4 linked regions of the Mus musculus genome follow. The protein of the gene in region 1 interacts with the protein of each later gene in a pairwise test. Links are inferred from orthologs where the notes say so. Each region holds a gene or a part of one and is shown in the gene's direction. Other genes may lie near its edges. The genes, in order: Bnip2, Klc1, Frk and Bcl2.

Region 1 (5,324 bases):
CAAATCTGAAAGTGATCATTCATAATGATAGTCTTTTTGGTTTATCCACAGTTTCTAATGTTTTAACAGTAAAGATAAATAGTTCATGAAAGGAAAATGTTGCAGAGTATCTTACTCAGAACCAAACATTGAATCAAGTCATGTTCTGTTACTAAAATGAGGAAACTCAAGACCACAAAAACCTCACTCTCTGGCATGATTGCAAACGATTTTCTGCCACCGTGTGGGGAACTCTGCACACTGCAGAACTAAAATACAAATTGGAACTCCGGAAAAATCTGTAACTGGAGAGAAAATGCTTCCTGTGGCCAAGTGGTTTAACTAAAACTTTGTGGATCTGTTTGTCATGTTTCCCCCTCCAGCAATTAAGAAAATTGCTAGGGGAAATAATACTAACACAGATGATAGCAACATTCCAAGCGCCCATCTCAGATACATGTACTGTTCTGTCTCAAAAGCCCCATGAGGCGGGCATTATTTTTTTCTCCATTTTATAGGTAAGTCACAGAGCTCTTAACTCTCTGCCAACAGAGAACAAATCTAAACTGTATCTCTAAAGAACTGTGTTTTGGATCCATTTAAAATAGTTTTGACTTCACCATTCCTTTTAGGAGTAATAGGCTTGCCCAAATAGTTACCTACTAGCTCTCTGGACAGGTTGAGCACGTTCAACTTCTAAGAGGGATGACCTTGCCCTCCAAAATAACAGCCCCTTGAAGCTGCTTAAAAGGACAGCTCATAGACGGAAGCCATTCAAAAAAATTGTTAATGGCCCACACAGAAAAGTACAGAAGTTGAGATCTTTTGAGAATTTTTTATTGGTTATTTTATTTATTGACATTTCAAATGTTATCCCCTTCCCAGTTTCCTCTCCACAAACCTCTTATCCCCTCCTCCCCCTTTTTGAGGATTTTTTTTTTTTACGACAGCCAATTTTAGGACTGTTGACTGTGATAATAAAATATTTTACATTTACTGACTTCACTTTTATTTTCATTTTTTCTACGTCATCAAGATAGGACCCACAAATAACTGGGAAAAGCATGTTTTAAAGCAATAGTTCTAAACTTTCCTAAAGCTGGGACCCTTTAGTACAGTTCCTCATGTTGTGGAGACCCCCAACCACAAAATTACTCCGTTGCAACTTCAGAACAGTAATATTGCTACAGTCGTGAATCGTAATGAAATTTCCTATGATCTCGGGACCTTCGGAAGGTCCGGAGTTCAAATCCCAGCAACCACATGGTGGGAACGGAAAGTTCAGATAATAGAGTGCCTACCTAGCAGCAGTCAGGAAGCCCTAAGTTGTCTCTATCTCTACCACAATGTGGTAACAATCATGTAGATAATCTCAGCTCTCTGGAGACTGGGGCAGGAAAATTAGTTTTCAAGGTTATTTCAGATACACTGGAAGGAATTCAAGGCCAACTCGGAACACAGGAGAGGAGTCTGGGGAGGAGAGGGGTGGGGTACTTATTACTCTCTCAGAAGCATTACTGGAGAGAAAAACTATTCACGTCGGAAAATTCTATCAAAGTAGATTCTTCTAGGACCTGGCTATCGTACATAAGACATCGACTATTTTTCACCCCCTTTTCATTCACTCTGTAATATAGTTAATATAATGTCAAGTAAAGGAAAACAGAGAGAAACGAATAGCTCTTTCAAGACAGCGAGGTTAGGTCCCTACAGTAACGTTAAGTGCGTGAGCCTTAGAAAGCTGCGCCCTCCTCCTCCCTCGCCAGCAGCAAGCCAAAGCCTTAGCTGGCCCGGGACAGAAGGGCTCACGGCTGCGCATGCGCAGAGAGGAAGCCCGCCGAGGATTTTAGGAAAACGCCCCGCCCCCGCTTCCTCCCTCGGCCGCGCCCGGCGCCGGTCCGGAGGTGGTCACTTCCGCCGGGGCGTACGCACTGAATCCGGGTCAGCTGCAGCCGCCCGGACTGCAACTAAGATCGTCCGGGAAAAGCTGGGCCCCGTCTCCACAGCCGACCAAGGGCAGCGGGCTCTGCCCGGCGCCGCTTTCTGCGACCTGGCCGTCAGCCCCACGTCGCCGGCCTGGAGGGGCAAAGAGGACGAGGGGGCCGCGGCTTCCTCCGGGGTGAGCACGGCTTGGGTAGCGGGCCGGGCTACGGCACAGCCGGAGGGCTGCGGGAGGATCGGCCAGGCCAGGCGGGGGTGGCGGCCGTGGACTGGCGCGTTCGCGTTCCGGGTCCGAGCGCTGCCGGGCCCCGCCCTGCCTCGGACGCTGGTGCCAGGCTCTCGCCCCCTTCCTTTTTCCGTCTGTGGCCCGAAAGCCTGGAGCGGAACCTCCCGGTTCCTGGCTTCCCCTAGCCTCGTTTGTTCCGTGTTCCTAACCGGCGTCAGTCCAGAGCAGAACAAAGAAACTTGGGCGTGTAGTGCACCCCATAGCCTCGGGGGGATGGACGCAGACAGCATACACAGACAGCATCCTATAAGTCATCAGGGCTCTCTTGAACCTTCCTGAGTGTGATATCCTATTGTAGGGTGTGTACGTCAATGCCTGATCCTTGGCTGTTCTCAGACACTTAACCTCTTCATTTAAATACCGGCTAGGATGCTTTGGATTGCTGTATGCATGCGATGCCACTGGAGAATTCTTCCTAAGTCTGTTCACGTTCAAGCAGAAACTTATTTGGATCTATATTACGTTACTTCGAAACTTCCTTTGTCCTAGGAACTCTATGAGGACACAACTTTTGCAGTGTTTATCAAAGTATTTCTATAAAAGTGCCTTTCATCTGCAATTGCATCTTAGTATTGCTTTCTTTTGCGTCACTTTTAATTAGGATGTTTTCCCTTATACTTGAATTCCCATCTTCAATGAAATGCACGTTTTCTTATGATTTATTAGAATCCTTTAATTGTAGAGGGTTTTTTTTCTCAAAGGTTTTTTTTTTTTAATGTGTCTTGTCATGTGGTATAGGCGACTGCAGAGGGCATCGGAACCCCTGGAGCTGCTAGCATTATAGGCTGTTGTGGTGGGAACCGAAATAGGCTCCTGTGAAGAGCAGCAAGCATGCTTAACTACTGACCCACTCCTCTAGCCTTCACTTGTAGAAACTCTGTAATTCATGAGTGGGTGTTCCTTCAAAGTTAGAGTTGAAGTTATCTAGTTTAGTTACCCATACATGAAGTTACCAATGTTTGGTTGCCTCGCACATTATTTTTTTGGCTTGGTTCTTAATCAATCTCTATCTCTCAATGCCATTCTTAGGTCTTTTCTAACTTGCTGGACTAGGAAATGTGACATGTGCATAGCGTAGGGACTGAATTACCATAAACCAACATACTTACATCTTTAGGCATCGCAGGACCTTTCACCCTTAAGTATAACCACATTTGGTTTTACAGACAGGTTTGTTATAGATCTGGGGATCAGGACATAGGGTCTGTCTTTTGCCTCTTGTCTAAGCTAAATGGCTAATGACATTGCATTCGACCTCACTGTCTTAGTTTGGGGTTTACTGCTGTGAACAGACACCATGACCAAGGCAAGTCTTATAAAAAAACAACATTTTAATTGGGGCTGGCTTACAGGTCCAGAGGTTCAGTACATTATCATCAAGGTGGGAGCATGACAGTATCCAGGCAGACATGGCACAGGCAGAACTGAGAGTTCTACATCTTCATTCCAAAGGCTGCTAGTAGAAGACTTCCCAGGCAACTAGGGTGAGGGTCTTAAGACCACACCCACAGTGACACACCTATTCCAACAAGGCCACACCTCCAAATGGTGCCACTCCCTGGTCCAAGAATATACAAACCACGACACTCACACCTGTTGGGCACTGACGCTCTAACTACTCATTAGTTTTTAATGGGTAGAGAAGTAAAGGTGAAATACTCTTTGGGGCAGTGGTCCTGATTGTTCTCTCTGTAGCGATGAGAGAAGGGGACATCTGAGAACAAAAGGCTATGTTTCTAGACCAAGAGTGGCTTCGGCTGGCAGTATTCAAGGTCTTATGCTAAGATTACATCCTACGAAGCAAGCAAGCAAGCAAGCAATATCACAGATAGTCCTGACTTGGCATTATAACCAGCTTCTAACAAGCAGACTGTTTGAGATCAGGTGTTAGAGTTTGGTCTACTTAAAGGTGCCAACACATCTCTAATACCTTCTGCATACTGATAGTTTAATAAATGTATTCTAGGTGTTTAGCCTATGCTATGTTTTTAACAGTTCTGAGAGAAGTTAGCACCATTCTAGTTTGCTGGTTGTGTGTGTGCACATGTGTGAACGTTGCTGTGGAAGCATTTTGTTCTTGAAAGCCCTACATGATCATACTAAGGGAGATAGCTCAGTCTGTAAGGGCACTTGTCTAGAAAGCCTGAACCCCTGAGTTTGACTCCCAGAGCCCACATAAGCCAGCTGTAATCCCTGCAGTCCTATGGCAAGATGGGAGGAGGGGACAAGAGAAACTTCTTGAAGTTCCTGGCCAGCTAAACTGGGAGCATGAAGCAATCGAAGAAAGTAGAAGAGAGATCCTGCCTCGGAATAAAGTGGACAGAGAGAACCACGCCGGAAAATTGTAATTTGACTTCCACTCTCCTGCCAAAGCACACACCACTAACCTGCCCACCCTCTGTGTGCGCATGCGCATGTGTGCTTTAAGAAGATAGACTCTTACAGGGGTATAGTCATACCTTTGACAATGACAAGCAAGAATGAAGGCTTTGTCCAGGGGTTCCCGTGTGCTTAGTCTTCAGGGGCGTATAGCCTGCTCATAATACATAAAAGTAAATCAAGCAGAACCTCTTGTGCAAGTGCAGACTTTCTGCCTCTGTTTGCTTTCAGCGAGCACAGAAGTTACTTGCACCTATTCCAGCAGCAGTGTTTAAAGTACATGACAGTACAGTTACCATGGAAGCATGTCACAGCCGACATAGGTCAAAATACTTAATTCTGTTCACCTTCCTAAATTGCTCGTGGCTTCCCTTCTTTAGTGTGGTTGGATTCACACCTCCCCTCAGAAGTTGTGTAGGGAGGAATCCATCGTGTTTGGTTTGATTTTTTTTTTTTAACCTGACTAGGATCAGAGGCTGTTGATTGCATTATGACTGCCACATATAACTGCCATGAAGAGATGCTAACAAGATACCCAGCTATCAGATTATTTCTGTGGAAGTATGTTATTCTGTCAAGTAGTGTATTAAAGTACTGTGTCTGTATTCTAACATTTTAAAGTTCTAAAAGCAAAACTGGGAAGGCGGTGGACTTGGGAGTCAGAGGCATCCAGATTCCCTCCAGAGCAGTGCTGCATATTTCAGCGCCTTTCTCACTGTTTCCTGTTCCTACGGCTGCT
Region 2 (5,270 bases), on another chromosome or scaffold:
TGGGTGGTATAGCTGCTTGTATGCCATCTTTGCTTCTGTAAATAACCCTAATTTCAATGGCTCATCAAGCTGGACTGGGATGGACTTCTTTGCTCTGTTGATGTCCCATTTGGGGGGGGGGGTGAACAGATATTTATATATCTTTCAAAGATTCATATTCATGTATGTGCGGGTGTGCCCATGTATGCAGGTGTCACAGAGGCCAGAAGAGGTCCACAGGTACAGTGGAGCTGGAGTTAGAGGCTACTGTGGGCATTCACCCAATGTGCCTGCTGGAAACAGAACTCCAGTCCCCTGAAAGATCAGCAAGCATTCTTAACCGTTAGCCCCTGAAAGGATAGATGTCTCTTTATTTCTCCATGGGAAGTCACACAACAGTCTAGGCAGGGGGATGTTGAACTGGGTGTGGCAGAGAAAACTAAAGGACAGGTGAGGGCAGCTAGGGACAGGGTAAAGTGACCTTAGTACAACTAGGTCCTGTGGCCTTTGTAGACCAAGCTAAGGAGTTTTATGCTCATGCTGAGAGTGATGTATGTCTGCAGCAGGGTTGATTAGCTTGGTCTTTCCTCCTCCCCAACACAGCAGGGGTGCTCCTGTCTCAAGATTTAATGGAGTGTTCTACGCTGGTTCCGTGGTCCTGTTCTTTCCTGTGTGTGTCAGCACAATTTTCTGACCTTGGAGTTTGGGTCATGTGCCACTCCCTCACCACTCTGCCTGCAATTTTACTGTTTTCAACAAGTCAGATTCTGTTTGAGCTTGTTTTTTCTCATTGGAATGGGAGCTGGCCAGCAGACACCATCTGCCACTTTATGTACCTGGGTCTTCCTGTGAGAACCTTGGGAACTTAGTGGATATCAGTTGAAGGGGCAAAAGAACGAGATGATAAAGCTTGAACAAAGCAATGGCAGGGACAGATGAAACAAAAAAGCCCTTTGCTTGCTGAAGAAGTGTGTGCATATACAGGACTCGGAGGGGCAGTGATTGACCCATGGGAAAGAAATGGGCTCCCGCTTAGCCTACTCTTTTCTTTCCAACACCACCTGGGCAGGGGCCGTCATATGCTTTGTTCAGATGTATGGCAGTGGCTGAAGAGCCGGCGACACCCAACATCCAAGCAGCAGTTTGTGTGCTGGGGCAAGTGAAGCCTGCAGTAAAGACTGAACCCACAGCCTCTCCTTAGGCCAACATGGGCTGCTGCGCTCCCCACGGGAGCTGCCCCTTTATTGGCCAGCCTTTGAATTTTCTAGGAGGTCAAAGTAACTGGATCTGCTTGTTAAGATCAAAAGCACCTGCCTCCCTGATGTTGGTAGGTATAAGTGCAGGGTGGAGGACCGCAGCAGGTTCTGGGCAATACCATCAGAAGAGGGAAGCGTTTCCCAAGGTGGGGAGGCTGTGGGCATTCGCAACCCCTCCCCGTTAGTAATACAACCGCGCCATTCTGGAAACGTCTAAAGGCACCTGGAGGGTTCCCAAGCCGGTGGCAGGCAAGCTCGGCCTTGCCACTGACTCAGCGTCCCCTCCAACCCGCTGCTGAGTCAGGCCTGCAGTTGGGGTGCCAGGCGGCTGTGCGAGGCTCAGGAGCAACCTGAGCTGGCAAGCCTGCCCTTTGGGCCAGGCTGGAGGTCGAGCGAGAGCTGCGGCCAGGAGCGAGCCGCAGAGGGTGGGTCCTGGCCGCCTGGCGATCTTCCCGTCCTCCACGGGTGGAGGCGCGGCGAGGGAAGCCTCCCGGTCTGAGGCCACCACACACAGATTAGAGAGGCTCCTGGAGAGCTCCGGGCTGCGGACCCCAGCCTCAGTTTCCCCTGAGCCCCGCCCGGCGGCGCGAGGGCGGGTGACGTCACGGCGCACAGCATTGTGGGGCGGGCGCGGCGCCGGCGACGCCATTTTCGGCGGCGGAGGGTGGCGCGAGGCTGCGGAGCGCGGGTCAGGGTGAGGATGCTGCGGGGCGGCTGCGGAGGCGCCGCTTGCTGCTGAGGCGGCTGGGCTCTGCGCGGCCTCGGCCTGTGACAGCGCGACGAGCGCGACTCTCCCGATCGGACGGTGAGTGCGCGGCCTGGTCCCCGCCCCGCCCCGGGCTCCGCGCGGCTGGTGCGCAGTGCTCCAGACGCGGCCGCGACCCCTTCCCGCCTGCATCCTCCGGGCTGAGGCTTCTGGACCTTTCCGTCCACCGCCGCATCTGCACCCGGCCCTTCCAGGCTGCGATTTTGCTCCTCCGCCCGAACCCAGTCCCCTCCCTGGCCTTTCCATCCCTGTCTGCACCCTGGGGTTCCCTCTCCTCTCCGCTCCGTCCGCGCCCCTCCGTGCTCCGGTCTCTTGTCACCTCTGCCTGCGCGCCAGTAGTCTGCGGTCCTTGTCCTCTCTCAGCCTGTGCACATCCAGCAGGGGTTTCTGTCCTTTCTCCGCCTGCGCCTTTCTAGGCTCGGGTCTCTTGTCACCTCTCTGCGCTCCTCCAATCTGCGGTCCTTGTCCCTGTCTACCTGCGCCCCTGCTTTGGGTCCCTTCCCTGTCACTGGCTGCGCCCCTCCTGGCTGGGGTCTTTGTCGTCATCTCTCTGCCTGTACATCCAGGCTGAGGCTCTTCTCCCTTCCCTTCCTGTTCTGGTTCGGGTCCTGTCCTATCTCTGCCTGTCCCTCTCTGAGTTGAGGTCCTTGTCCCTTCTTCGTCCGTGACCCTCTAGGTTTGGGGCTCAGCTCTCTCTGCCTGCACTCTAGACTTCTGTTCCTGCCCCTTCTCTTCCACTCCCCTCCTGTGTCCCTCAGGCTTCTGTCCCATCTGTGTTCAGGGCCCCGCCCTGACTCGGGCCTCGGGGCGGGGGCGGCCTTCCAATGGCAGCTGTGGGCTTAAGGGACCCAAAGCCTGTCTGCTGAGGTCCTGAAGAGGTGGTGGTGGTGGTAGTGTGTGTGTTGGGGGTCAGCCGACTGGCTTTGTCTCAGGCCTCCCCGCCCTTCTAGCCCCCACCTCTCCCCGGCACCGCCCTGGGTGGCGTGCTGTCATGCTGTGGTCCATGGCCAGTGGCCAGCCAGTCTCTTTCTTTCAGTGGCCGGGTGTGGAATCTCCCTGTGACCTGAATGTGCCCGGCCTGGAGTGCTTTTCCTTGTTACATGTGGAGCCCCCTTCCCGTAAAAAAAAATTAAGGTGTTAATAAAGTAATATTAATATGTGACCGAGTGGATGGCATTATAATGAAGTTTGCAGGCCGTTTCCAGCTGTGTTGTGTTGGAATTGCTACTACCTGCTACTGTTATGTTATTGGTGATCTGGTGTACTTGCAAAAATGATGTCTTTAAAAAGCATGAGAACAAGAAATTTATATACCATTTAAACTGCTATGTTTTTGATTCTTTGCATTACTTAAATTCCAAGGCTCTTTATACGGTATGACAAAGCCTTAGGTCAGAATTAGCCTGGAATGCTTTGTAATAGGACAGTGAAACCCCATTAGGAAACTCGATCAACCTTGAGTCTCCTAAGCATGCCATAGTTAGGGATCTTCTACATGGAGGCCTATAGGCCTCAGTTGTGGTAGGAAATTTGACTTACTGTTCTTTGCAGTAAGTATTTGTAAGAATGCAATGATTCTATTTAAAATTCCACAGTGTGCGGTATGTGGGAGGGCGGGCCCCTTCTAGATCATTAAAGAATGCAGCATGTTGCAAGTCCAGCCTGATGCTCTGGTGGAACCAAGAGGGGTGGGACCTGGTGGTGACCGCTCTGTAGCACCAGCATTGTGAGAGCGTGTGTGGTGAACACATAGCAGGAAGTGACAGTATATGCCTATAACCCGGACACACTTGGGAGCCACAACTGCATAGCAAAATCTCAAAACAAAAATCCAAAGCAAGAAAAGCATAGACTTGCATGGAATCTGGACAGGGATTTTTTTCCAAGTGCAGAGATTGAAGAGGTGAGGTCTACACAGCTTAGCTATTCTACAGCAAAGTCTCCAGGCTGAAGAGGGCACTCAGTGCTAGGGTAGTAGCCTACATTCAAAAGATCCTGCTTCCTCAGTGCAAGAACAAACAAACCAAACATTACCCACAACCTAAATGTTTACATTAAGAAAGATTAATCCGGGCTGGAGGGATGGCTCAGCGGTTAAGAGCACTGACAGTTCTTCCAGAGGTCATGAGTTCAAATCCTAGCAACCACATGGTGGCTCACAACCATCTGTAATAGGGTTCGATGCCCTCTTCTGGTTTGTCTGAAGACAGCCACAGTGTACTCATATACATAAAATAAGTAAATAATTCTTTTAAAAAAAGATGAATCCATTCTTGGGACTGGAGGGATGGCTTAGTTGTTAAGAGTAATTATTGTCCTTTTAGAGGGACCTGGGTTTGATTCTTAGCACCCAGAAACAGCTCATAATTGTCCCTAACTACAATTCCAGGTAATCTGAGACCCTCTTCTGACCTCTGTGGTGCCCATGAACACCATGCAGGTGTACATGTAAACACTAACTCTTAACAACCAAAAGAAAACATTTTTAAGCATTTTTTTCAGGTTGGGAAAAGTGAAAATCTCTAAAGATCCATAAACAATCCCTAGAAATGGTTGACTTAAAAGAACTAGAAAGAAAACCTGAAGTGACTTTTTTGAAGCCAGAAGTTCTTAATTGAGTGACTGTCAGAAAGCAGATTATGCAACAAGAAAGTGACTTGCATGCTGAGCAAGATAGTGTCAAGTTTTAGAGCACAGAGTGAAAATGTTGAAGGCTGGGCATGGTGGCACAGGCGATCTGGAGGGTAGGGCAGGATTGGGAGGCCAGCTTGTGCTACACAGAATCTCCCTCAAACGAAGTAAGAAACAAAAAGAATAAAGATGTTGGATTAGGACTGTGGAAGTGTGGGCTCGAGGGAGTGTTAAGTGCTGAGAATCCACTGTGCAACACTGTACTATTAGGGATCCTGGTATGGGTAGTTCCCAAAAGAACTCAGACCCCGTGTGAGTGGTGAGGAGGCTCTTGTTGCACAGTTCAGAGGCAAGTGCAGATTGGCTATGTGTGGTGCTGATGGGAGGCCTGTCCTAGTGAGGTGGGGAGGGGAGGATGGGAAATGCTCCTGTGGTGGTAGGCAGAGCTAAGGAGGTGCTCCTGCTCTGCAGTTGGAAGGAGAAGGCGGGAGGCAGGGAAGAAGAGCCGGTTTGGTGGTTAGAGCAGGAAGGTAAGGGCAGTGGTGCGGGTGGTGCTGTGCACGGGCAAGCTGGTTAGGAAGTATCCACCTTAGTCTTGTGAGTGTTAGGACAGTGGCTGGAGGTGCAGAAGTGGCTGA
Region 3 (4,388 bases), on another chromosome or scaffold:
TCCAAAGGTAGCACAATTTGTTTCTACTAATGATCAATCCTATTACACTATGGAATACCTATATTTCTATATTTCTATACCTAGCTATATAGAATTAGTCCATTTAAGGTGTGCCTGTGTCTGAAGTGATGCTCTGAGAATAGCAAGCCAAGAGGGCGATTAAAAAATGCCTTATGCATGTGGCTATAAATGTAGTATATACATTTTATAAGTGTTATAATCTTAAAATTTGTTCATGACCTCATTTTATTTATTTATTTATTTATTTATTTATTTATTTATTTATTTAGGTTTTTTGAGATAAGGTTTCTCTGTATAGCCCTGGTTGTCCTGGAACTCACTTTGTAGACCAAGCTGGCCTCAAACTCAGAAATCCACCTGCCTCTGCCTCCCAAGCGCTGGGATTAAAGGAGTGCAACACCATGTCCGGCTTCATGACCTCATTTTAAAGAAAAATCTGATGAAATAATGAAATTTTCTCTTTGGTTTAACCAGATTGTATGATATTTCTCTGTCTCTCTCTGTCTCTGTCTGTCTGTCTGTCTATCTGTCGTCTCTGTCTCTGTGTATGTGTCTGTGTGTTTATGTGTGTGTAAGTTAGAGGTCAATATTGAGTGCTTTCCTCCATAACTGCTTGTTTATGATCTGAGCCAGAGTAACTGGGTCTGGAGCTCACTGATTGATGAGACTGACTAGCCAAGAAGCTCAGGGGTCTTCCTGTCTCTGCCACCACAGCCCTGGGATTACAAGCATGTACCACCATGAGAAGATTTTTTTTTTTTTTTTAATAACAGTACTGAGGGTCTAAAATTCAGGTTTTCATTCACTAAGCCATCTCCCTATTCTGGAAATGCTTTAAAGAAAGGCTGACGCCCCTAACTGCTAGTTTCCATGAAGAGGTGAATCGATGGTGTGTGATTCTGAAAACACAGAGACTAGCACAGGCTTTAGGATAATGGGATGCTTTTGTTATATTCTTTGTAGATTAGTGTCATCGCATATATGATTGATTTATCAGATGTCTCAGAATTGACTTTGCTAGTTCAGTATTTTCCAAAATAATCTCCCATTTTCTCTCCTTTTTTTCAGATGATGGTGGGTCAAAAATCCATTTGATTCAACAGGTAGACATGGCGGCACAGGTGGCTTCTGGAATGGCCTATCTTGAGTCGCAGAACTATATTCACAGAGATCTGGCTGCAAGAAATGTCCTTGTTGGTGAACATAATATCTACAAAGTAGCAGATTTTGGACTTGCAAGAGTTTTTAAGGTAGATTTAGTTTTGTTTTAATCAGTTCTTATAGTAGGTTAAACAGCAAAAAAGTTAATATAGCGATAAGTTCAAAATTAATTTTTAAAACTATTTTGCTGCTAGGTGTGGTACTAAAGACTTAGGATCCCAACACACAAGAGGGTGAGACAAGAGGATTTCAGGTTTGAGATCAGCTTGAACCTCAATGAGATCCTTGTCTCCAAATAATAATTGCAACAAGAGTAACAAAGCCACACACAAACAAGAAACAAATAAAACTTTCATGTTGTCTATCTATGGTCCATTGATAAAGACAAGTTGTATAAGATCATATAGACAGAGTGCTTTTCTATTTCTATGGAGAGGGGCAACCAAGGGAAAAATGGTGATCATGCAGATAAATAAATATGTGATTAAAATTGTAGTTGAGTTTGTGGCGTACTTGTCAGATGCTACCAGCACCACCCATCTGCTTTTTCACATTCCTTCTCCAGAAAGCAATAGACTGTATCTAACTTTGCTCACTTGACAATAGGCTAAGGCCATACTACAGTGATTCTCCAACAATCATCAGCTTTCTGTGTGCTTGTGTGATTGTGTGGACATGGCAGTGTTTTATATATGCATGTGCGTGTGTCCTTTTGTCTGTGTGAGTACATGTATAGGCCAGAAGTTGATATTGAAATGTCTTCTTCAATCTTTTCTACACCTTGATAAAATGGTTTTAATAATTCTTTGAGGATTTCATACAATGCATATTGATCATATTCAATCCCTCCCCCTAACTTCTCTCAGACATAGCTCCCACCTCTCTACCCACACAACTCCCTCTTCCCCCTCAACTGCACTTGTTAGAGGACAAATTTCTCACGGAACCTGTAGTCTTCATTTTGGCTAGATTGGCTGGTCAGCATGTCTCTAGGATCCACCTGTATCTTCATCCTCAGCCCTGTGTTGCACACGTGTACTGTATCACCTGGTTTTTACCTGGATGCTGGTGACCTGAACTCACGTGCTCATACTGCTTAGAAAGCACGGTGTCCACTGAGCCATCTCTCCAAAAATAAACCACTGGCTTTTCATTTACCTATACTCACCCTGTTTTGTAACATCAATCCAAAGAGACTAATAATTAGACCTCAGATGAGGTGTTTAAATCTGAACTTAAAGTGAGATTTCCATACCATTCACTAAAAGTATGAATGTAGAGCAAAACAGACACAGACTCTCTTTCCATATCACCTTTCCTATTTTTTTAGAAATTAATTAAAATTAAAAAGTCACTATGTTGATAAACTAATTTAAATTATTGAGATAGCACTTTTTTGGTATTATCAAGTGCTTTAGATGATAATCAATGCCAGCTTTTCTAAGAAAGGTTTTATTTATTTTTATTTCATGTATATGTGTTTTTTCCCTGCATTTATGTCTGAGCATTTATGTCACTGCAAAAGCCAGAAGGTACCAAATACTCTGGAGCTGAAGTTATAGATGGTTGTGTGCTACCATTTGGGTGTTGGGAACCAAACCTGTGTTCTTGTCAAGAGCAGTAAATCATCTTAATTACTGAACTGTCTCTCTAGCCTTAATATCAGTCCATAGCTCTTCATGACTAAGAGCAAATAAAACCAGACATCCTTTGTTTCTCCTCCTCTTTCATCTTCTTCTTCAGTTTGTAGAGGACTTACACAAGTACAAATGATCACAGATTCTCCTTCCTGCAATGGCATGATGCTCCTCAGGCTCTCAAGACACATCGTGCTAATGATCTTTCACTGATTTTTCTAGTCTTATATGTTTGGTTCAGAATATCTTATATTATAATGCAAATCAACCTAAGCCCATATTGAATATTTGCTTCTACATTTTCGCGTGACACAGGTTACAAATAAACAAGGGCAGCACAACAAATTACTAACTTGGCTTGAATCCTTGATGCATTAACAGGTAGATAATGAAGACATCTATGAATCTAAACACGAAATAAAGCTGCCAGTGAAGTGGACTGCACCCGAAGCCATTCGTACTAATAAATTCAGCATTAAGTCTGATGTGTGGTCTTTTGGAATCCTGCTCTATGAAATCATTACTTATGGCAAAATGCCTTACAGTGGTGAGTGATTAATTCAGAAGTGGGCCTTTCTGTTGCAGGTCACTTGCTTAGATGTGACTTTAACTGCTTTGCATAGATTTAGAGGGCAGAGTTATGAGGCTGACCATTCCATGTTCCTGGAGGAGCCTGATAGATAAAATTTGATGATGATAATTTGCATTAATGAAGTGGTTTATTACTTTCTTCTCCTTTACTCTTGAATTGCAGTCTTATAGACAAGACTTGCTGCTGGTTTTAGTTTAACGTTACAGCCTGGGAAATGGATGGTGGGTCTCATGATGGACTTCATCAAGGGAAAAAAATCCTTTATAACCCAGAGTTCAGTGTCAACTATAATTTGAAGACTCTGATTGTCCACTTTTTTTTTGTTCTATTCTGTATGTCTTAGGTATGACAGGTGCTCAAGTAATTCAAATGTTGAGTCAAAACTACAGACTTCCACAGCCATCTAACTGCCCACAGCAATTCTACAGCATCATGCTAGAGTGCTGGAATGTTGAGCCTAAGCAACGGCCAACATTTGAGACCCTGCATTGGAAACTTGAAGACTACTTTGAAACAGACTGTTCCTATTCAGATACAAATAACTTCATAAACTAAACATCAAGGAAAAGAAGAAATATAATGAAGATATGAAAACGTGGGGCTCATCAGTCCAGAAATACTATCTATTCAACCAACTGTGAAATCAGCTTATTTTGACATATTCAAGTGGTAGGATGAACTCAGCCATGCATTCCATATCAAAAAGATAATCTGTGTATTTTATTGACTAGGAAACACTGCAGGACAGTATAAGATAATGTGTCATTTTTCCTCACTGCCTGGTAAAATCAATCACACTAAATGAAGTTATTTTTTTTCCTTTTGAGAACTCCTCACATTTCTATTTATTGTTTGAATGCCCATCAAGAGAATCAACAGATGACAGTGTTTACTCAGTTACTGTTGTGGCATTTTCCTGTTTACTAATTAGACTGGTTATTCATTATTCCTCAAATTGCTGAATACCATCAGGCTGT
Region 4 (5,510 bases), on another chromosome or scaffold:
TCTGGAAATAGAGGCTGGAAAATCATTACATTTATCCTTTGTTACACAGCAAATTGAAGGCCACCCTGGGCTACATGAGACCCTGCCTCAAATAAATAAAGGTGGAAGGGGAGAATGGCTCCACGGTGCTGTCCAATGACAATCCATGCCATGGCATGTACTCCACCAACCCACACCATGTACACACAAAATACACCCTTTTAAACTTGGAATGAGGTAAAGATAGTGACTGAATGTGCTGTTCCCACAGTAATCCAGCAAGCCTGTGGGACTTGTCCACCCTGCACATGTGCTCTGTTCTTAAGCCCGATGTGGCAACCTGCTAGCCTGTGAACGAACAGCTTACTTATTTACTTATTAATTTAATGTATGTGAGTACACTGTCACTGTCTTCAGACACACCAGAAGAGGGCATCAGATCCCATTACAGATGGCTGTGAGCCACTATGTGGTTGCTGACACTTGAACTCAGGACCTTCGGAAGAACAGTCGGTGTTCTTAACCGCTGAGCCATCTCACCAACCACGAGTTTTCATTAGTATTTTAATTTGTAATTAATATCCTGGAGACTGTTGGGAGTTGCCACTCTTCACCCAAGGGTAGCATATTGGTACTACTCACTACTTAGGAGTCAATATATGTCTCAGTAATCTCTCTGGCTGCTGAGAGCTGATAACATAGTTATCACATAGCACAGTTTTTCTTGGTGTTTTATGTATCTATCTCTCAGCTTGATTGTTTCTGTCTGGGTTCATACAAGTGACAGTGGCACTGTGTGTCTGTGGGTACATAGACACATTATCTGTATGGCTGCATCTTCTGAAGCCGTCTCAGGTTGCATGCTGGTCAGAGCTGAGGATATCCAAAACCGTACCTATGCCGTGTTAGGGTCATGGCCTTGAAAGGTGGCAGGTATCACTCCCTGAGGTCCAGCCCCAGCCCAGTGCTGGGAGCGTTAGGAGCAGAGGAAAAACTGTCCCTGAAACTCAAACTTCTGCTGTTCTCTTCTCCTCTCTTCACTGGCCCACTGCGAGTTAGGTCTGGCCTTGGTCACCAAGTTGGGTATGCCTGGATAGAGGCTAAAAGCGCCTGGGTGCTCATGTGGTATCTGCTTGGACACCTCCAAAGTAACTCCGCATACCACTTTGACTATTCTTTAACAAGCCAAGAGCATCAGCGACTGCCATCAGTCTGCCACTGTCTGACTAAGAAGAGATGAGGAAAGACCAGCCTCTGAGGCACATCCCTTGCTGGTTGTGGACATCACATCATGCTCTTCAGAGCAGAGGAGTACTCAGACCTGTTCTAAGTTACACAGCTTGTGGTGTCTGGACAAAAGGGCCTAGAAACAAGCATGCTAACGTTGTTATTCTAAGTATTTTCATTTGTAATTAATATCCTGGAGACTGTGTTGGGAGTTGCCTCTCTTCACCCAAGGGTAGCATATTGGTACTACTCACTACTTAGGAGTCAATATATGTCTCGGTAATCTCTCTGGCTGCTGAGAGCTGATAACATAGTGTTTGGGGGTTCACATGGTTAGCTGAGGGTCTGTTTGATTTTATACACTATATGTGGTTGTATACACTACACTGTTTAAAGGGTCCACATGATTGTAGATACACTGCACTACACACACACACACACACAGAGCGACTGTGTACACACTTTATGTGTGGTTAGAAAGGGTCCATTGGATTGTGCACATTCCATGCACGCGGTTAGAAAGGGTCCATGTGACCTGCACATGCTACATAGAAAAAGTCCATGCGGTCGTGCACACTGTACACGTTGAAAAAGATCCATGCAATTGTGCCCATCCTGTTAGAAAAGATCCAGGTGCCTCGCCACAGCCTGGCCCTGGCTATAGGCACGTCCAGCCAGCAGCCAGCCCCGCAGGCCCGAGGAGGCCCCTCACACGCCCACTGAGCCACTGCCGCCCGGGAGGCCCGCGCCACCCACGGTCCGGGGCCCAGCGTAGCCCGCGGGTGGCCGCCACCCAGGCCAGCGGCCGCGGCCGGGCGCGCGCTCCCCGGGGCGGCCGCGGCGCCTTTAACCCGGGCGGCTGGCGGGCGGCGGGAGGAGGCGGCGGGCGGGCGCTCAGAGGAGGGCTTTCTTTCTTCTTTTTTTTGAATGAACGGTGACGTACGTACAGGAAACCAGGCGCTCCGGCGGAGAATGAAGTAAGAGGCCGGGCCCCCCGCCCCGCGCCCGCCCCCTTCCTCCCCGGCCCGTCCTCCCGCCCCGCGTCCGGGTCCCCGCCGAGCCGCCGCCGCCAACACCGAGGTGCCCAGGCCCTCCCCAGCCGCAGCCGTCACCGTGGAACGGGCTGCGCGGCGCAAGCACGAGGAGGCGGCCGCCAGCGCCGCCCGCAGCGGAGGAGGAGAAAGGGTGCGCAGCCCGGAGGCGGGGTGCGCCGGTGGGGTGCAGCGGAAGAGGGGACCAGGGGGGGACTTCGTAGCAGTCATCCTTTTTAGGAAAAAGAGGGGGGGCAAACCCTCCCCCACCACCTCCTTCTCCCGCAGCGCACCACACACAGTGCGCGGGCTGCTCCTTGGGCACCCGCGGCCCCAGCGCGTCCGTGCCTGCATTTAGCAAGCTGCTTTTTTTCCCGTTTCGGAAAGCGCGTTGGCCCTTCGGAGTTTAATCAGAAGAGGATTCCGGTCCCGGTCCCCCAGCTCCTCCATCGTCCCCTTGGCGTGTCTCTCTGCCCTGGAGGTCTGAAGCGGTCCGGTGGATACGGATCCATGCCTGCGCTCCAGCGTGTGTGTGCAAGTGTAAATTGCCGAGAAGAAGGGAGAATCACAGGACTTCTGCAAATGCTGGACTGAAAAATTGTAATTCATCTGCCGCCGCCGCCGCTGCCTTTTTGCCCCGCTGCGGTGCTCTTGAGATCTCTGGTTGGGATTCCTACGGATTGACATTCTCAGTGAAGCCGGAGTGTGAGGACCCAATCTGGAAACCCTCCTGATTTTTCCTCCACCTAGCCCCCAGACCCCAACTCCCGATTCATTGCAAGTTGTAAAGAAGCTTATACAAGGAGACTTCTGAAGATCGATGGTGTGGTTGCCTTATGTATTTGTTTGGGTTTTACCAAAAAAGGGTAAACTTGACAGAAGATCATGCCGTCCTTAGAAAATACAGTAAGTTCTTTGCACAGGAATTTTGTTTAATATAACTTTCCATGGACGCGTTTGAAATATTTTTTTACTTCAAGTGCATTCAAGCAAATTTCATTTCCAGACAGTTTAATGCATTTTTAAACGTGTAACTTGTAGCGGATATACCTTTCTTACCCTAAATATATAAAGGAAAACACACCTGATTTTAACTTCCTAGGTCGTCCCGCCTCTTCACCTTTCAGCATTGCGGAGGAAGTAGACTGATATTAACAAAGCTTAATAAATAATGTACCTCATGAAATAAAAAGCAGAAAGGAATTTGAATAAAAATTTCCTGCATCTCATGCCAACGGGGAAACACCAGAATCAAGTGTTCGGTGTAACTAAAGACACCCCTTCATCCAAGAATGCAAAGCACATCCAATAAAAGAGCTGGATTATAACTATTCTTTTTTTTTTTTTTTTCTTTCGGGGCCGTGGGGCGGGAGTCGGGACTTGAAGTGCCATTGGTACCTGCAGCTTCTTTTCGGGGAAGGATGGCGCAAGCCGGGAGAACAGGGTATGATAACCGGGAGATCGTGATGAAGTACATACATTATAAGCTGTCACAGAGGGGCTACGAGTGGGATGCTGGAGATGCGGACGCGGCGCCCCTGGGGGCTGCCCCCACCCCTGGCATCTTCTCCTTCCAGCCTGAGAGCAACCCAATGCCCGCTGTGCACCGGGACATGGCTGCCAGGACGTCTCCTCTCAGGCCCCTCGTTGCCACCGCTGGGCCTGCGCTCAGCCCTGTGCCACCTGTGGTCCATCTGACCCTCCGCCGGGCTGGGGATGACTTCTCTCGTCGCTACCGTCGTGACTTCGCAGAGATGTCCAGTCAGCTGCACCTGACGCCCTTCACCGCGAGGGGACGCTTTGCCACGGTGGTGGAGGAACTCTTCAGGGATGGGGTGAACTGGGGGAGGATTGTGGCCTTCTTTGAGTTCGGTGGGGTCATGTGTGTGGAGAGCGTCAACAGGGAGATGTCACCCCTGGTGGACAACATCGCCCTGTGGATGACTGAGTACCTGAACCGGCATCTGCACACCTGGATCCAGGATAACGGAGGCTGGGTAGGTGCATGTCTGGTTGAATGAGTCTGGGCTTTGATCTCAAGGCCAAGATGCGCAGGTTGGGGTGTGAGTGGATTCTGGGTCAAAATGGGCCATTGAGCAGATGAAATAAAGTCGAGTTTGTAGCTTTGCTCCCCTGACCTCTCACTCTCTTCCTCTGGGTACATCACACCCTGCCAACACTGTGTTAACTCCTGCCCGCTGGCTGTGAGGGAGCAAGAATCCAGCATTTTTGATCCAGTAGGATCTGGAGATAATAGCATCCCTCCAGTAACTCTCAGAGTTAGTTCGTCTGAGTAGCTTGCTGCAGATGTTCTGGGTCCTGTGTAAGCACCAGACCTCCAACACTCCCTCTTGACCTATGCATCTTTAGCTCCTCTGGTGGACTAACAAACTTTAAAAGGTCCATCTAGACATGCAGGCTCCACCAGAGGACGCAGGCAAACCTTTTCTAACTCACTTGGGAACATTTTCCCAAAGAAAAACAACACGGCTCCTTTTCCTGGAAATCATAGCTAAGCTTGTAAAAAAAAAAAAAAAAAAAAAAAAAAAAAGGTAAGCTTAGGTAGGTATTCGTGGATGTTTGTGGAATCCAGTCTGTCTATGCCATAGTCCCCAGTGGGCATGGTGGGTGTGCACCCTAAACATGTCCGTCAACGAATATGCGATGATTTAGAAGTCTGCATCCACTGTATGTCTTACTTTTCTCTACCTGCATTCTACATAGTTTTGCGATCTCTACTGCTGAATGGACTTGCATCTAGGGTGCCTATGAAAGGGGTAATGGAGTCCACTTAGCTGTGGCGTCTCCAGCCCTGACAAGTTAAAATGATTCGTATCCACAACACTGGTGAGCATCTATGGGGTGATAGTTTTCTGGGATCTTGGGAGGTTCAGCTTCCATATTTTACCGTGTGATTTAAGCTTTTCTCTGGTTCTTTAAGGGCAGAGAGCAGACTTAAGACTTGCTATAGCTAAAACAATTAAGTTATGTGAAAGCAATCATTATTGTCTGACATTTTTTAAAAGACCTTGTTTTAATGAAAAGGGTTTTCATTTTAGTCCTGCCTTGGTAGTATAAAGAGAACGAATATATATGTGAGTGTGTGTGTGTGTGTGTGTGTGTGTGTGTGTATATATATATATGTATATATATATATACACATATACATATACATATATATTATATCTTAACAGGAACAAAAAGTCTGTAACTGACTGAACGTGAACCAAATATCTAGAAGCACATTCTGTTTTTACTACAGTTTGCAAGATA

The links.
Region 2: the proteins of Bnip2 (region 1) and Klc1 interact in binary tests that used the Homo sapiens proteins (3 or more experiments, as listed by UniProt). The two-hybrid records come from large-scale screens. The link is inferred for Mus musculus from reciprocal best matches to the Homo sapiens genes BNIP2 and KLC1.
Region 3: the proteins of Bnip2 (region 1) and Frk interact in binary tests that used the Homo sapiens proteins (3 or more experiments, as listed by UniProt). The two-hybrid records come from large-scale screens. The link is inferred for Mus musculus from reciprocal best matches to the Homo sapiens genes BNIP2 and FRK.
Region 4: the proteins of Bnip2 (region 1) and Bcl2 interact in a two-hybrid assay, tested with the Homo sapiens proteins (3 studies listed by BioGRID and IntAct). The link is inferred for Mus musculus from reciprocal best matches to the Homo sapiens genes BNIP2 and BCL2.

Annotation. Positions count from the first base shown.
Region 1 is NC_000075.6:69,987,592-69,992,915, forward strand, and holds the start of Bnip2 (BCL2/adenovirus E1B 19 kDa protein-interacting protein 2), read left to right. Parts: upstream 1-1,874; 5' UTR 1,875-2,098; intron 2,099-5,324.
Region 2 is NC_000078.6:111,757,003-111,762,272, forward strand, and holds the start of Klc1 (kinesin light chain 1), read left to right. Parts: upstream 1-1,846; 5' UTR 1,847-2,040; intron 2,041-5,270. UniProt on the Homo sapiens protein: Kinesin is a microtubule-associated force-producing protein that may play a role in organelle transport. The light chain may function in coupling of cargo to the heavy chain or in the modulation of its ATPase activity.
Region 3 is NC_000076.6:34,604,606-34,608,993, forward strand, and holds part of Frk (tyrosine-protein kinase FRK), read left to right. Parts: intron 1-1,089; coding exon 1,090-1,271; intron 1,272-3,200; coding exon 3,201-3,366; intron 3,367-3,754; coding exon 3,755-3,966; 3' UTR 3,967-4,388. UniProt on the Homo sapiens protein: Non-receptor tyrosine-protein kinase that negatively regulates cell proliferation.
Region 4 is NC_000067.6:106,711,029-106,716,538, reverse strand, and holds the start of Bcl2 (apoptosis regulator Bcl-2), read left to right. Parts: upstream 1-2,248; 5' UTR 2,249-3,658; coding exon 3,659-4,234; coding exon of another isoform or gene 4,235-4,258; exon of another isoform or gene 4,259-4,374; intron 4,375-5,510. UniProt on the Homo sapiens protein: Suppresses apoptosis in a variety of cell systems including factor-dependent lymphohematopoietic and neural cells. Regulates cell death by controlling the mitochondrial membrane permeability. Appears to function in a feedback loop system with caspases.